Anolis sagrei: one gene and its partner. The protein of the gene in region 2 binds, or shares a complex with, the protein of the main gene of each other region. Links are inferred from orthologs where the notes say so. Each region holds a gene or a part of one and is shown on either strand. Other genes may lie near its edges.

The links.
Region 1: the proteins of KCND3 (region 2) and KCNIP1 are in contact, whole or in part, in a crystal structure (PDB 2NZ0), measured with the Homo sapiens proteins. The link is inferred for Anolis sagrei from reciprocal best matches to the Homo sapiens genes KCND3 and KCNIP1. Residues at the interface, in NP_001365898.1 of Homo sapiens: Ala6, Ala7, Trp8, Leu9, Pro10, Phe11, Ala12, Arg13, Ala14, Ala15, Ala16, Ile17, Gly18, Trp19, Pro21, Val22, Pro26, Met27, Pro28, Leu29, Ala30, Pro31, Lys34, Lys36, Arg37, Asp39, Trp54; in NP_001030009.1 of Homo sapiens: Leu67, Arg69, Gly70, Phe71, Glu74, Val80, Phe85, Ile88, Tyr89, Phe92, Phe93, Tyr101, Leu105, Phe109, Phe122, Ala125, Leu126, Leu129, Leu130, Leu138, Trp140, Thr141, Leu144, Tyr145, Ile161, Val162, Ile165, Tyr166, Met168, Met169.

What each region holds. Positions count from the first base shown.
Region 1 is NC_090022.1:103,582,671-103,589,990, reverse strand, and holds the start of KCNIP1 (A-type potassium channel modulatory protein KCNIP1), read left to right. Parts: upstream 1-4,306; 5' UTR 4,307-4,486; coding exon 4,487-4,715; intron 4,716-4,842; exon of another isoform or gene 4,843-5,274; intron 5,275-6,118; exon of another isoform or gene 6,119-6,183; coding exon of another isoform or gene 6,184-6,205; exon of another isoform or gene 6,206-6,727; intron 6,728-7,320. UniProt on the Homo sapiens protein: Regulatory subunit of Kv4/D (Shal)-type voltage-gated rapidly inactivating A-type potassium channels. Regulates channel density, inactivation kinetics and rate of recovery from inactivation in a calcium-dependent and isoform-specific manner.
Region 2 is NC_090024.1:199,882,274-199,890,375, reverse strand, and holds the start of KCND3 (A-type voltage-gated potassium channel KCND3), read left to right. Parts: upstream 1-5,017; 5' UTR 5,018-5,286; intron 5,287-5,523; exon of another isoform or gene 5,524-5,993; intron 5,994-6,288; exon of another isoform or gene 6,289-6,373; intron 6,374-8,102. UniProt on the Homo sapiens protein: Pore-forming (alpha) subunit of voltage-gated A-type potassium channels that mediates transmembrane potassium transport in excitable membranes, in brain and heart. In cardiomyocytes, may generate the transient outward potassium current I(To).

The DNA.
Region 1 (7,320 bases), on a different chromosome or scaffold from region 2:
ACTGCAATTATTATCTCCATGTGAACTACATATTTGCTGGAGTTGTACCTTCATATTTAATACATTTTAGACAATCTAGTGAAAGCTCTTAGGTACCCCATGTTATTCTAGGTGGATTAAGGTAACTGTTGTTTTCATGTGAAAAGGCAAATTAGAAATTTGTTACTATATGCCATTAAACAGGCTTCATATAATGGTGATCCTATGAATGAAAAACCTTCAAGAGATTGGAGTTTCATTATCACATAATATGAAATACATTCTCCAGATCAGCCATTCTAGAAATAATCTTCTCTTCACAGAAATATATTACTTTTTATTATTCATAGTAATTGCTTTTCAGTATGCAGCCATTTGCCATTCGTAGCTCATTTATGATCACAGGAACACTGTGAGAACCATAAAGTATTTGATCCAATCTCATGACTTTGCTTCAGAGTTTGTGGCCAGTATACTTTAGTTAAGAGAGAGAGGTCAGGCACCAGAGCAATGGGGAAATTCTGGAAATTGTGATCTCACAATACCTTGAAAGACAAATTATCTCCACCCCTGGTTTTTAACATTCAGAGCTTGAAATACACATAACGCATCACCAGTAATAACATGGGACAAAGTGCTGTTGGGGGGTTATGGATAAACTAACCTTCACAATTTGGGTAACACCTAGGAAACATGAAAGTCTCTCCATTCCTACTTATGAAGAAGCAGCCATTGAAATCCCCTGTCACTTGGAAAGCAGCTTATTGGTATTCCCAGCCTCCATCATGCCAACAATTTGTGCTGTGAGGGGGAACTCTGACAAAGACCACAATTCTGCAAGAGAGTGGTGGAAATCTTAGTCTGCCACTCTCCAAGTTATAGGGAAACTGACTCCATCAACTGTAGCAACTGCTTTTGTAGCAAGTGACAATGGGAAGAATTGGGCTGGAATTCTCTCATAGCTCTGTACCCACAGTAGTTATACTGTACATTTGTAACTCCTCAATATGATCCAGGCTCCAGGGCCGTAGCCAGAAAAATTTTTTGGGAGGGGTTGAAATTTTCAGGGGGGAGGGGTTGAAAATTTTGCGGGGGGGGGGGGGGGGTTGAAACCTGACTTCTAGCTCACGCTGAAGCATAGGGCACAGCAGGGGGCAGAGCAGCCTTCAATAGCCTGCAGCTCCACCCCTGTCAACCACCTCCACCAAGTCTGGCCTCCTTAATGAGAGAATTCAACACACACACACACACAACTTGGTTGCTTCACTACATCGGCTATTGCTGCAAGTAATGACAGTGTGAATAAATTGTCAATATTTAAGGCCTTGCATGGTCTGGGGCCGATGTACCTGAGGGACCGCCTCACCCCCTACCAACCCCAGAGATCCCTCCGTTCTGAGGACCAAGATCTATTGGAAATTCCCAGTGTCAAGACCTTGCGTCTAACAGCAACCAGACGCAGAGCTTTTACAGCAGTGGCACCATCACTCTGGAATACTCTGCCACCTGAGGTCCGTGCCTTGCGGAACTTATCAGCTTTCCACAGGGCATGTAAGACATATCTTGTATGTGTTTTTATGGTTGGAAACCGGGCTGAGTCCCTCAATGAGGTGAGAAGGTCGGTATAGAAAACTTTGAAATAAATATAAATATAATAAATATCTGTTTCGACGGGCCTTTGATCTCTGATATTGCTGTTTTTAAATTCAGTTCTTGTGGGTTTTTTCGGGCTATATGGCCATGTTCTAGAGGCATTTCTCCTGACGTTTCGCCTGTTTTTAAATTGTTTTAAATTGTGTTCGATTTTAGCCTGTTCTTGTAAGCCGCTCCGAGCCCCAGGGGAGTGGCGGCATATACGTTCGAATAATAAATAAATATTTGCTTGAGATAGTGCTTGTAGTTCTGGAGGGACTCTTAATTTTTTGCATCTCATAGACTTAGCATGGGGATTTGGTTAACCAGTTAAAATTCATGAGTAAACTGGGTTTTTTAAAAAAAAAACCTGAAACATTTCGGGGGGGGGGTTGAACCCCTAACCCCCCCCCCCTCGCTACAGGCCTGGATCCAGCCCATACCTATAACACATTATTTTAGGGGAAAGTGGGCATAATATCATTTTATAGCATTATATAATGATGAATAATACTATTAGATTGTTATAGAATCATTTCCTAATTGATCCTAAAACATTGTTTTTGGAGGAGTCTGATCTGGGACATGTGTTTTTTTTTTATTTTAACTAACTAAAAACATGTCAGCATTACTCATATAGTGTCAAGTGACTACTATTGTCAATGAGACCCTCCCAATGTTTCTCTAGTCATCTTCCTCAAATATTGCATCCTTGACTGTTTTGCCATTTGTAGGATATAAAAGAACAGGAACCAATATGTTTCCCATTAAAGTACAACATCTTTGTCCAAATAGGACATGTTTCCCGACTTTGAATGAATACATGGAATTGCAGATAACAATGAAACCTTCTTTCTGAAGAATACTCGAGAGTTGACTGGAGGATCTATAAAATGCTTAGAGATTATGTATTTTGTCAGACATGGGTGAATAAAACACTGGGTATTGGTCTTACAGATACAGGGTCAAATGCAAGTTCATGTTGAGTAGAAATACATGTGGAGAAGAAGAATTAATCAGTCTCTTCTGCCAATTTGGCCATATTTAAATGTATGACCTGCTGGGTTTGCTTTTGAAAAGGTTTTAGAAAATATAAAAGATATTACTTTCTACACACACACACACAATGAAATTTTGAGCTTTATTAAATATGATCAGATATTTGAATCAGGATCTCATATCATTTCTAAGAAAACAAGATGCTATTTGTGATGTCTATATCTGCCTGTTCTTCAAATTTCACAGAAATTCAGAACACAGATTTATCAACAGGATGTACATCTTAATTTTCCATACTGGGTGAATTTGGGCACACTCTTTCAGCAAAGTCCTTTGAACAAATCTTGCTAATCTCACCATAAGTCAGAAATGACTGGAAGGCACACAACAACAAACACAGAATTATGTTTTATTTAAATTGGATTTTATTTACTGGGGCACTACATTTTGCTTTTCCAACTGGATCATGGAGAAAAAATCTTTAATCAATAGTAGCAGACTAGAGTACATCTGGATCCACTCAGGAACTATGCCAGATTTGGTAGGACTTTGGTATGCTATCCCCGTGGGACACTGGGTAATAAAAGCCCATCCCTTATAATCTTACGCAGACCCTGGATCCTGTGGCCAATACTGCAGCTACTGCTACTAACCCTTCACCCCTCCCCTGTATATATTTACCATAAGGGTCATAGCAGAAGTAGTGCAGTGGAAATAGGAAATATAGCTATGGGGCAGGTATTTCTATCCCACTCATTTCCAAAGCATGATGGGCAACTGGCAACTTATCACACACACAAACACCTTAGTTTAATGGTCTAAAGACATTATATTTGATATTTAAGGGCAGTGAAATTGAGAGACAACCCAGAGACAAGCAGCAGCTGGTTTGGCTGCCTTCATGTTGCCACCCACTAGTGTCTAGAGATGGAGAGCAGGCTTATTGGTAGTAGCTGCAGTAGCAGAATGGGTGATACTTGACAGGAAATGAGAACACAGTCTGGAGCCTTAAAACTATTGGCAAGTGTCTCACCCCAACAACCTCTAATGCTAGTGATATATGCTGTTGTATATAACACATGGTATAGGTGCCATGGAGAGACAGCATAGTGTGGTGATTTGAGAATTTGATTACATCTCTAAAGACCACTGAGTGACCTTTGGCAAGTCTCACTTTCAACCTCAGAAAACCTCATGGATTTGCCTTAGGGCTGCCATAAATTTGAAATTATTTGAAGAGACAACACATAGGTACTATGTTATATATCTATACCATGGTATAGGGGCCCACATCAGAAATTTGTAACAGGAGGCACTTGCCAATAGCTTTGAGACAGACCCCTCACTAACTCTCCAGCCCTCTCATCTCTGTTTTCCTGATCTCCTGTTTCATGTTGCTGATGTTGGATCTATCCTTTGGGTGGTCTGAACAGTTCTTAGGGAGTATTCTCAATTACAAGAAAGCAAAAAGTCATAATCAAATGATCAGGGGGAAAATGGGCATAGGAAGTGACTCAAAATCTTTTTTAGCAAGAAAGGGGGAAGACACTACCATTTGAGCAGAGAGCAACATACAATCTCAAAGGCAAAATAACTCTCGGACCCACAGTTGCTGAGGTTAGCAACATGGTGTTAAGTTGTAAATGAGCAGCATAAACTGTTGAGACAGTTGCCCTGGAAAGGGAGAGGGAGAGGGAGATGGAGGAGAGGGAGAGAAGGAGGGAGAGAAAAGGGAATCAAACTCAGGTTAAAAATTTAGAAGAGAGAAAGGCTGGAAGAGTGTGAGATTGGGGAAAGGCGGAGGAACAGGGACAGGGTGAGACTCACACTCCCGCACAAAGAGAGACAGAGGGACGAAAGAGAGAGAAAATGAGCCATGCACTTAAGGAGCAGCAGGAAGAAAAGCTTCAAACAGCTGATTTCCACCCTGCTTTCAATCCCTGCCTGTCGCTTCACTAGCACACCAGAGCCTACTATCTGGGTGTTATCTGAAAAGATGTGGAGCAAAGGAGAGTCTGAAGGGCTGCAGACTTTAGGGATTGTGGTGGTGATTTGCTCTTCTCTGAAACTTTTGCACTACCTTGGATTAATTGACTTATCAGATGGTAAGAGAACCTCCAAGTTTTACCACCTCCTCTATACTTTTTCTTTAACTATAGTGGCACTCTGAGCTTGCGATTCTGTGCCCAGCTACCCCAAGGGTAAGCTTTGCTGAAATCAGTAAAGACTTACCTTTGAGTAGACATGTATAGGATGGCACTGTGAGAAAGACCATTTCGTTTTTCTCGTATGGCTGTTTTTCCTTCTTCAAATCTCTTCCTTGCTTCATTCTGCAGTGCTGAATTGTGTAGTGTGCTCTTGCAAGCTTCTGGGATTCCTGTTAAGTAGTATGTTTACATTGTGTGTATGTGTGCTCTTTTTCCAGTTCTGAAATTGTCAAATATCTTCCTGTAAGTACTGCTTCACCATCATTCACCTCCTGTGTGGTGATTATGTTTCATTTGGATTAATTGTAAAGCATCTAATTCTTAGGACTCTGAGATGTGCATAGAACATGTTGAGATAGAGAGAAGTAGCTTAAACATGTCTACTCACAAAGAAGTCCCAGGCTATACAGAGGCATGCTTTTCTTTCCACCAAATACACTTTTGGATGCTTTAAAAATTAAATGACAGATGGCCACCCACGACAACTCAGGAGACAAGCAGCAACTGAAATTTTGCTCTCTAATATAAGCCCCCTCCTATTTATTATTGGAAATATTAGAGATGAATAGATTTTTACCTAGGAATGCATGTCAAGTTTGGGGGGGGGGGTTGAATCTGTTTTCCATATCTTAACAAAGTTTAACACTCATGGTTATGCTTATGGAATACATTAAAAATCAATGTATTTTCACAAAAGTGAATGCTCAAAATGAAAATAATAGTATATAATCCCTCTCATTTTACTCTTTTTACTTTTGGGGAGTGGGGCACTGCTAATAAATATGCTATGTTTACTTTCTCGAACACCTGTTTGAAGTTATTCTAAAGGCAGTACTTAACAATTATTAAATTAGGCTGAAACATGAAATCAACGATATATACACAAAACAGTAAATGAGACTGCAGTGTATACACTGAACTTCGGAGGGAGTTCTGCTGAACTTTGGGCTCACTTCAGAGCATGTGATTATATCAATAAAAGTTTGTCCCTTTCTTTATCAAGTAGAGGAGAAACTATCAGAAGACCAATAGTCACCCCTATAGTTAAACTACTTCTGTTCTATCTGGATTAAAACTTGCCTTGGAAAAAAGTAATAAATGCATTTTAATATGCAATTATTATCTAAGGAAATATTGATCTAGGTAAGTATTGACCAACAGTTGTCATTGATCTCAAATCATTTTAAGTATTCTGATTTTAAATGCAATAATAGATCAATTTACCCTGATAGGAAATGGAATCCATTGAGATGTCTGCAAGACAAAATAAAAATGGCATTAATAAACCACCAAAGTAGGATGGTATCAAGAAAGGGACTCACCTTAGTGCATTACGAAAGGAAGCAATTTGAAATTCTGCAGCAGCATGCATTGGCAGAGCCGTCCATGTGAGTGCAAGGTTTCTTTTCTGTTTGTTCTTGGCTGTAATTCCAACTGTGAAATTCTGTTGTTTCCAAAAAGATAAATCACTTGTTTTGTATTAACACCATGCTCCTGGAAAAATCAAATTGCTGTAATCAGTTTGTGGAGGAAGCTCTAGCACAGTGCAATACTAGATCTTTATAAGTTGCAATCAGGGCATAATTGTGTTTCTGAATCATTTACTAGGGCTGCTGCCATCACAAAATCCTGGATGAGAGGAAAATTTGAAACAAGTTTTTGTCTGTTTGTTTGTTTGTCATAGCTAGCGTATTGTGCAAGAGCGCCATTCAGCTTCATTCAAGCACTGCAACAGTATGCCTGTTAAATCTTTGCAGTAAGCAGTCTCTCCTAATCCAACATCACTCTGGGCTGATGGGCTACATCTTTTCTGCAGCTTTGCTTGTTAATTGCTGCTGCCTTTCAGGCTGTAAAACCATGCTCACAGGACTCAGCAGTGTGCTCTGTAACCTGCTGTTAAAAATGCTTAGAAGTTCAGAGTTTATCTTCTCTCAGGCCTCCTAAAATCTTGAGCCGATGCAGAGCCATGGTACTTAGCACCTACATGGAAAAATCATCTGAAATAAACAAAGTAAACTGTAGTTGCAGTATTGTTACATGGGTTAAGGGAATTCATTACCCAGGTTTTTTGAATGCAAGTTGTTTTCCCTCTCTGCCTTCTTTTTTTCTATCATCGTATTTTGACTTTTTGAGAGACAGTGGCAAATATGGTGAACACCCATGACCAAGAAACTGTAGTGTAGGCTGTCTTGCGGGATGACAATTTTATTTGTTTTCTTTTTTAGTATGTATGCTTCTGAAAGGGACAAACTTGTCATATTAGCAATTATAGCAGAGCCGCGGTGGTGCAATGGGTTAAACCCTTGTGCCGGCTGAACTGCTGACCTGAAGACCTGAAGGTTGGCCATGCAAATCCACAAGATGAGGTGAGCCCCCATCTGTCAGCCCCAACTTCCTATGCAGGGACATGTGAGAAGCTTCTCACAGGATGTTAACACCTCTGGGCATTCCCTAGGCAACGTCCTTGCAGATGCCCAATTCTCTCACACATCCAGTATATTCT
Region 2 (8,102 bases):
CCTCTTACTACATATTAAATATGATGTAGCACTCCATTTTTTTAAAAGTCTATATTTGAAAAATATTGATCATATTTTATTTACTTCCAAGATTTCTGCCAAAATTTCTCAGTAGAGGTCCACAGACAAACTAAACTACTGCCTGCTTTTGCTTTCATTCATTAATTGTTTGGAGATGTATATGCTTTTATGACCCTAGATTTAAGAGGCCATTCACTATTTGAGATGTATAGTGTTTTAGTGAGCTGAGCTCTACACTCAATTGCTTAAGAAAAGCTTTTGAGATAATTACCTGAAGAAGTGAAAAAGATTCCTCCATTATTCATAATGCCATGGATGCCTGCCATCTATAAATCAGGACATATGAGAGCATCCCGGTTTTAACATTCCATCTACCCTCCCCCCAGATTTTTTTTTAAAAAAGTCACTTTTCATATTTGGCATTTTACATACATTTCTGTGCCTCCCTCCAAAGTAAAAAGGGGTGGCACATGAAGTGAGTTGATTAGAAGCCCCAACAACATTAAGTTTATTAACTGAAAATCAACTTACAAATTTGGCATTGGCAAAAGCAAAACCCAATGGACCAGATCTTTGGCTTTGAAAGAGATTTGCTCTCAACCCCTATACCAGTTCCCAAATTGTAGGCTTATGATCTAGACAAAATCTACAGGATCTCATCTCCCCTGGATCTGAGTGCTGCCTTTTCATTATGATTCCATTTGTCGCCAAAATTTCCCTGTAGTTGTTGTTGTGTACTTTTAAGAATGGAGAAAACATGGACTCACATGTCTATTGCATGGAAACTATTAACATCTCCCACTCTTGGCAAGCCTCCTCCTCATCTTGACTGACACCTGCTGGTGACACCCGAGTGCTTAGCAAGTCTCTGCCTCATGGAGCTGCCTCCTTTCCTACCACTAGTCTAAGTCCATTGATTGCTAGCCTCTGCTGCCAGTATCACATCCAAAGTCCAAATCCCTTCCTTTTGTACCATGGGGAGGATGCTAAATCAATTGAATGGCCCTGGCTCACTGCTATGGAATCATGGGAATTGTAGCTTTACAATATCTTTATCCTTCTCTGCTTCTGCCCAAGAATGATGTTCTCTCACCAAACTACAACTCCTATTAGTCCATAGCATTAAGCTGTAGCTGTGAAAAGGGTATCAAAACACATTAATTCTACAGTGACAATGAACCCTACATCTAGGAAATAATTATTTCAGAAATTCTTGCAGAGTTTTTGCCTGTCACAGTTGAAAGCACTGAACTACCTAGACCAGTGGTTTTCAACCTGTGGGTCCCCAGGTGTTTTGGCCTACAACTTTCAGAAATTCCAGCCAGTTTACCATTTGTTAGGATTTCTGGGAGTTGAAGCCAAAGCATTTGGGGACCCAGAGGTTGAGAACCACTGGTCCAGGTAGTTCAGTGCTTTCAACTGTGACAGGCAAAAACTCTGCTTCCTGAGTACTTCTAGATCAGGGGTCCACAAACTTTTTAAACAGAGGGCCAGGTCACAGTCCCTCAAAATGTTGGAGGGCCGGATTATAATTTGAAAAAAAAAAACATGAATTAATTCCTATGCACACTGCACATGTCTTATTTGTAGTGCAAAAAACACTTAAAAACAATACAATAATTAAAATGAAGAACAATTCAATAAATATAAACTTATTAGTATTTCAATGGGAAGGGTGGTCTGCTTTTGGCTGATGAGATAGGATTGTTGTTGTTGTTGTTGTTTTTGTGTGCTTTCAAGTCATTTCAGACTTAAGCTGACCCTGAGTGAGGGCCGGGTAAATGACCTTGGAGGGCCGCATCCGGCCCCTGGGCCTTAGTTTGGGGACGCCTGTTCTAGATGAAAAGGTGGCACTACATGAATATTTCTTTTATATGAAGATTAACATCTCCCTCCCTGGTTACACAGAGGCATGAGAGCAACTACTGTTTATTGTTTATTTGTTCAGTCACTTCTGACTCTTCATAACCTCATGGACCAGCCCACGCAGAGCTCACTGTTGGCCGTGGTCACCCCCAGCTCCTTCAAGTTTAAGCCAGTCACTTCAAGGATGCCATCCATCCTTCTTATCCTTGGTCATCCCCTCTTCCTTTTTCCTTCCATTGGCCCAACATCATTATCTTCTCCAAGATTTCCTATCTTCTCATTATGTGGCCAAAGTAGAGTCTCCCTTATCCAACCTTCTCTCATCCAACATTCTGTATTATCCAACGCAGTCTGTGTCTTGCCCAAATCCATAGCTGTTTCAATATATTGTGAGGTTTTGGTGCTAAATTTGTAAATACAATAATTACTGTATTTACAAATTTATTTATTTACCATGAACTGAATTGCTTTTTCTGTCGATTTATTGTAAAATATTATGTTTTGGTGCTTAATCTGTAAAATCATAACAATTTAATGTTTAATAGGCATTTCCTTGATCCCTTCTAAGTATCCAACATTTTTGCTTATCCAATGTCCTGCCGGCACATTTATGTTGGATAAGTGAGACTCTACTATACTTCAGCTTTGCCTCTAATATCCTTCCCTCCAATGAGCAGCTGGGCATTATTTCCTGGAGTTATGGACTGCTTTGATCTTCTTGGGGAACTACTGCCTCCCAAATGTGGGACTGATTTCTGCACTCTAAATTTGCCTCATTACATTAGGGATGCAGTTTGAAGATAGCTTTCAACTGTGGCGGCCAGGCAACAATCTCCCAGAAACATGCATGAAGGGAAGCCCTTAGTGTACATCAGTGCTCTGTGTCTTGCGCAATCACCATTTGGTCTCAAACTGGTTCCAAGATTTCCTGTGTAATCAGCTGCACAGAGAAATCTATTTCCTCAGTAAATGTTAGAAACTGGGTTGTTGTAGGTTTTTCGGGCTGTATGGCCATGTTCTAGAAGCATTTTCTCCTGACGTTTTGCCTGCATCTATGGTTGTGAGGTCTTGTGAGGTCTTATGAGGATGCCTGGCATAGATGCAGGCAATAGTAAAGTTTATTGATTAGTCCACTGACCATATCAACAATAAAAGACAAAAACAAGAAAATACACAAATAGACACTACTCACTGTCCTAAAACTCCTGTAATAGTGAATATACATTAAAACACAATTAAAACTTGATTATGTTAAAAGTTAAAGATAATTAAATATCATCAGATGCAAGTGAAATATCAGGAGGGAATGCTTCTAGAACATGGCCATACAGCCCGGAAAATCTACAACAACCTAGTCATTCCAGCCATGAAAGCCTTTGACAATATATGTTATAAACTGCCTTAAATGGTCAGTATAGAGGAGTGCCCAGCTGTGAGATCATGACCCACTGCCATGCTTGGGGTCACTCTCAGATCGGAGTCCTTCCTTTCGCAACAGCAAGAGCCCAGGAGGTGATTGCCTACCTAGAGCTGGGCTTGGCCATTTGCGAGCATTAATGGTGCCCCCAGTGGCTCAGTGGGTTAAACCACTGAGCTGCTGAACTTTCTAACCAAAAGGTCACAGGTTCAAATCTGGGGAGCAGCGTGAGCTCCTGCTGTTTAGCCTCAGCTTCTGCCAATCTAGCAGTTCAAAAACATGCAAATGTAAGTAGATCAATAGGTACAGCTCTGGTGGGAAGATAACAGCGCTCCATGCAGTCATGCCAGCCACATGACCTTGGAGGTGTCTATGGATAATGCCGGCTCTTCAGTTTAGAAATGGACATGAGCCCCAGTCCCCAGAGTTGGACACAACTGGACTTACCTTTACCTATCCTTCCCTCCAATGAGCAGCTGGGCATTATTTCCTGGAGTATGGACTGCCTTGATCTTCTTCGGGAACTACTGTCCCTCTTATGTGGGAATGAATTCTGCACTCTAAACTTGTCTCTTTACATTAGGGATATCAGGCCCCATCTAATGCAGCTTCCCTAGATCTAGGGAAGTAATGCTACCCCTTTATTCTGCTTTGGTTAGACCACACCTGGAATATTGTATCCAATTCTGGGCACCACAATTCAAGAGAGATATTGACAAGCTGGAATGTGTCCAGAGGAGGGCGACTAAAATGATCAAGGGTCTGATCAAGCCCTGTGAGGAGTGGCTTAAGGAGCTGGGCATGTTTAGCCTGAAGAAGAGAAGGCTGAGAGGAGATATGATAGCCATGTATAAATATGTGAAAGGAAGCCACAGGGAGGAGGGAGCAAGCTTGTTTTCTGTTTCTCTGGCTTCAAACTACAAGAAAGGAGATTCCATCTAAACATGAGGAAGAACTTCCTGACTGTGAGAGCCGTTCAGCAATGGAACTCTATGCCCCGGAGTGTGGTGGAGGCTCCTTCTTTGGAAGCTTTTAAACAGAGGCTGTATGGCCATCTATCAGGGGTGTTTTGAATGCAATATTCCTGCTTCTTGGCAGGGGGTTAGATGCCAAGGTCTCTTCCAACTCTTTGATTCTATGATTCTATGAAGGTAGCTTCCAACTGTGGTGGCCAGTCAACAAACTCCCAGAACCGCATCTGAAAGGAAGCACTGTCTTGTGCAATCACCATTCGGTCTCAAACTGGTTCCACGATTTCCTATGTAATAATCTGCACAGAGAAAGCACTTTCCTCAGTAAATGTTAGAAAGGACCTTAAATGGTCAGTATAAACGGTGCTCCAGCTGTGAGATCGCGACCCGCTGCCATGCTTGGGGTCACTCTTAGATCTGAATCCTTCCTTCCTTCCTTCCTTCCTTCCTTCCTTCCTTCCTTCCTTCCTTCCTTCCTTCCTTCCTTCCTTCCTTCCTTCCTTCCTTCCTTCCTTCCTTCCTTCCTTCCTTCCTTCCTTCCTTCCTTCCAAGAGCCCGGGAGGTGACTGCCTTCTAGGGCTGGGCTTGAACCTTGTCGAGTTGCCTTCGGCGCGCTGGGCGCTGTCCGCCGCGCCCTGGTGCTGAACCGCGCCTCGCTCCCAGCCCCGTGCGTTGGGCATAGGCGGGGCCAAAGGCAAGCCGCGGAAGCTTTGGGGAGGGCGCCATCTATCTGCCGCGCGGGGCGACGCAGCCGGAGAGGCAAGCCCCTTGGACAACGTCGGAGGAGCGCCTCCGCCAGCTTCCGCGCCCCGATTGGGATCCGAGCGCCCCCAGCGAGCGAGAGAGCGAGCGAGAGAGCGCCTCCCTCCCTCCCTCCGCCCCTCTGGGCAGCGGGAGTGCCCGCCTTCAGCATCTGGATGGCAACCTCTCAGCCCTATCTGCGGAGCAGGGGCTCGGGAAGGGGATGGCGTGGCGTGGCGCGGCGTGGCGAGTGAGCCCCCGGCCCAGGAGGTAAGGAAGGCAGGCGGTGGGGCAGGAGGGGAGGGGGCTGTGTGTGTGTGAGCCGCGGGGAGGGGCGGATTCCCCTTCCAGGCAGGGAAGAGGCACGAGTTTGCCTCTCTCCTTGGAAGTCCTACCTGCAAGTGGGGAGGAACAGGCATCACCCTTCTTCTCCCCCCCCCCCCCCGCCCCCGTTCCCCTCCTGCCTTTTCTCTCCCGTGTTCTGGCTTCCCGCCCTCTGCCAACTCGCGCATCAGCTCCTTCTGCTGAACTCCTACACACACGCGCGCACACACACATACCCCGCTTAAGTATAATCTGAATCTCCCAACGAGATGACGCACGCGGGGAGGAAAAGGCAGCCCAGCGCCTCTGTATTCCGAGTCCACATTTGGTCTGACTTTCTCCAAGTGGCTCCGCTCCGCATCCCTCGCTCCCTCCCGGCTAAGAGTGCGCCCGTCGGGTGCGGTGTCGTGGAAAACGGACCTAACCCAACGCAGAAGTGAAGTTTTAGCAAAAGGGGGACCTGAAGGACATGAGGCTTTGCCCTCCTCGGGGTGGGAGGGATTGTAGACAACCGAAGGCGCGGAGACTATGTGTCCAGGGAGGCAGCGATGAACTGAAGAGTTGTCTCTCCTTCCCTTGGAAAGCAAGGGAGTAGGAATGAGAAACTTTGCCGGCAAGAGCTACCAGGGCAAGGGCACCGAAGGAGCCAACAGGTAATTTTTCTGTCCCTCGCCAGCATCACATCCCCATTCTTTGCCACGCATTTTGTTTGTGTGGACGGTTTCTCTTGGATGTTGCCCTCAGTGCCTAAGGTATGTTTCCAAACCTCTTTCTTTCCAAGAGAGGCGCTTGAATCTTGGTCTCTGAATCCTCTGAGAGGAGAAAGTTGGAAGCGCTAGAGGAGACTCACCAGTCTGATCAGGTTCACACAGTGAATCCACAAGATGGATTGGAGGGTGGTTGGTTGTGTTGATATGCATTCCAACTCAGTAGTTTATCAAGCACAGCAATAACAAGGAAAGCTGTTTAGTCACCTTCCCCGGGGCTAATGACGTTGTCTGAGTCCTGCAACCTGCATCTGGAGAATCCAGAGGTAGGCAAGATCATTAACATTTCTTCTCAAGGACGAATCTTTATCTCTCTTCTCTATGCCTGTGTAGATCCCCTCCTGTATTATATGGGCACTAGGCAATTATTTCCTTTTACTTTAAGTGTGTGTGTGTGTGTGTCAGGAGCAACTTGAGAAACTGCAGGTCGCTTCTGATGTAAGAGAGTTGGCCGTCTGCAAAGATGTTGGCCAGGGGACACCCGGATGTTTTGATGTTTTACCATTCTTGTGAGAGGCTTTTCTCATGTCCCCACATGGGGAGCTGGAGCTGACAGAGGGAGCTCATCCATGCTCTTCTCAGATTCCAACCTCTGTCTTGTCAGTCTTCAGTCCTGCCAGCACAAGGGTTTAACCCTTTATGCCACCGGGGGCTCCAGTTAAGGTCAAGCCATTGGTGTGATGCTGAATGGGAGGTTGGATAGGACAAGTGAAGTTTGCATGCTTTTATCCTGTTGCTTTTTAGCTTTGCTGGGGAAAGAAGAGAGGAAATCCTTTGCAAATAGTTTTATTATTCCCCACCATAGAGAATAAGGGTGATGAGAGATTAATTGAAAAAGGGTGTAGAAGCCTTTCCTGAACTTGCATTTTAAATGAAAGGATACTTGAATCTGGAGCCTGACCCATATTTTAAAAGACAATCAAGTAAAGACTCGGCATAGTATTTTCCACCCAAACTTCTTTTCTATGAAACTCCCATTCTAGTTTGTCAGCTATTATCCTTTAGCACTGTTGTGGTCTGTTTGTATAGATAGTACTTATAAATACTTATAAATCTTTTTAAACAAATCCTAGCTAAGGATGTTCGGAGGCATTCCGAAATATTGGCATAGTTGGCAGAAGTTAATGAGATGAAAATTCATCACTTCTTTCCTGTTCCTCCTGAGTGAACAGGAATAAATATGTGCTCCTCCGGAGTGAATAGGCATAAACTTGGAAGTTCTCTTCTTTGGTGTGCTATCAATTCCAGGAAGAAGTGTGGATTTGTCTTTTCAAAAAGAAATCAAATTATTGTCTGTGAAGCAAGATGTAGCCCAAACAAGGCTTATGTCTATATGCCAAAAGGACAAAAAGGGGGGGGGGGGGAATGGAGTGGCAAGACAGATGAGATCTTTGGGGGAAAGGTCATTTTGAAACAAGAAAGAGAAACTATGTATAGGTTTTGCTGAAGAAAGAGACACTGTGTATAGCTTTTGTTGTATCATTTTGGGTTAACTAGAAAAAATATGGTCTGTTTGCTTCTGCAGTCCATTGAAATTTGCTTTAACTCAAAAGGGTCACTTTGTGCATACAAGCCCTTCTAGTCTTACTCTCAACAGCAGTCTGTTAGATGAAGGGCATTAGGATGACATTGGTGTCTGAAGGCATCATAACAACCTTAACATTATTTCTAACAATGTATGTCTAATCAAAACTCTAAAATTCCCTTTTCATTGTGTTCAATAGGAAGAGAAAAACACTTTTGTAGAATTTACTTCCTTTCTTATGGTGTTTTACATACCTCACAGTCCTTGTTGTAAATGCTACATATTTATGTGTGCACATGTGCATGGGGGTGTTTCTTTACCCTCTTCTCATCTGGCTATCAAAATAGATATCATTTAAAATACTTTTGCACACACTTGAAGATTGTAGAATATTAAAGATTGTTTGCAGTATTTTCCATCAAGTTTTTATTTTGGGGGTAGGAGGGAGGCTTTAGGGGAAAAATGTAACC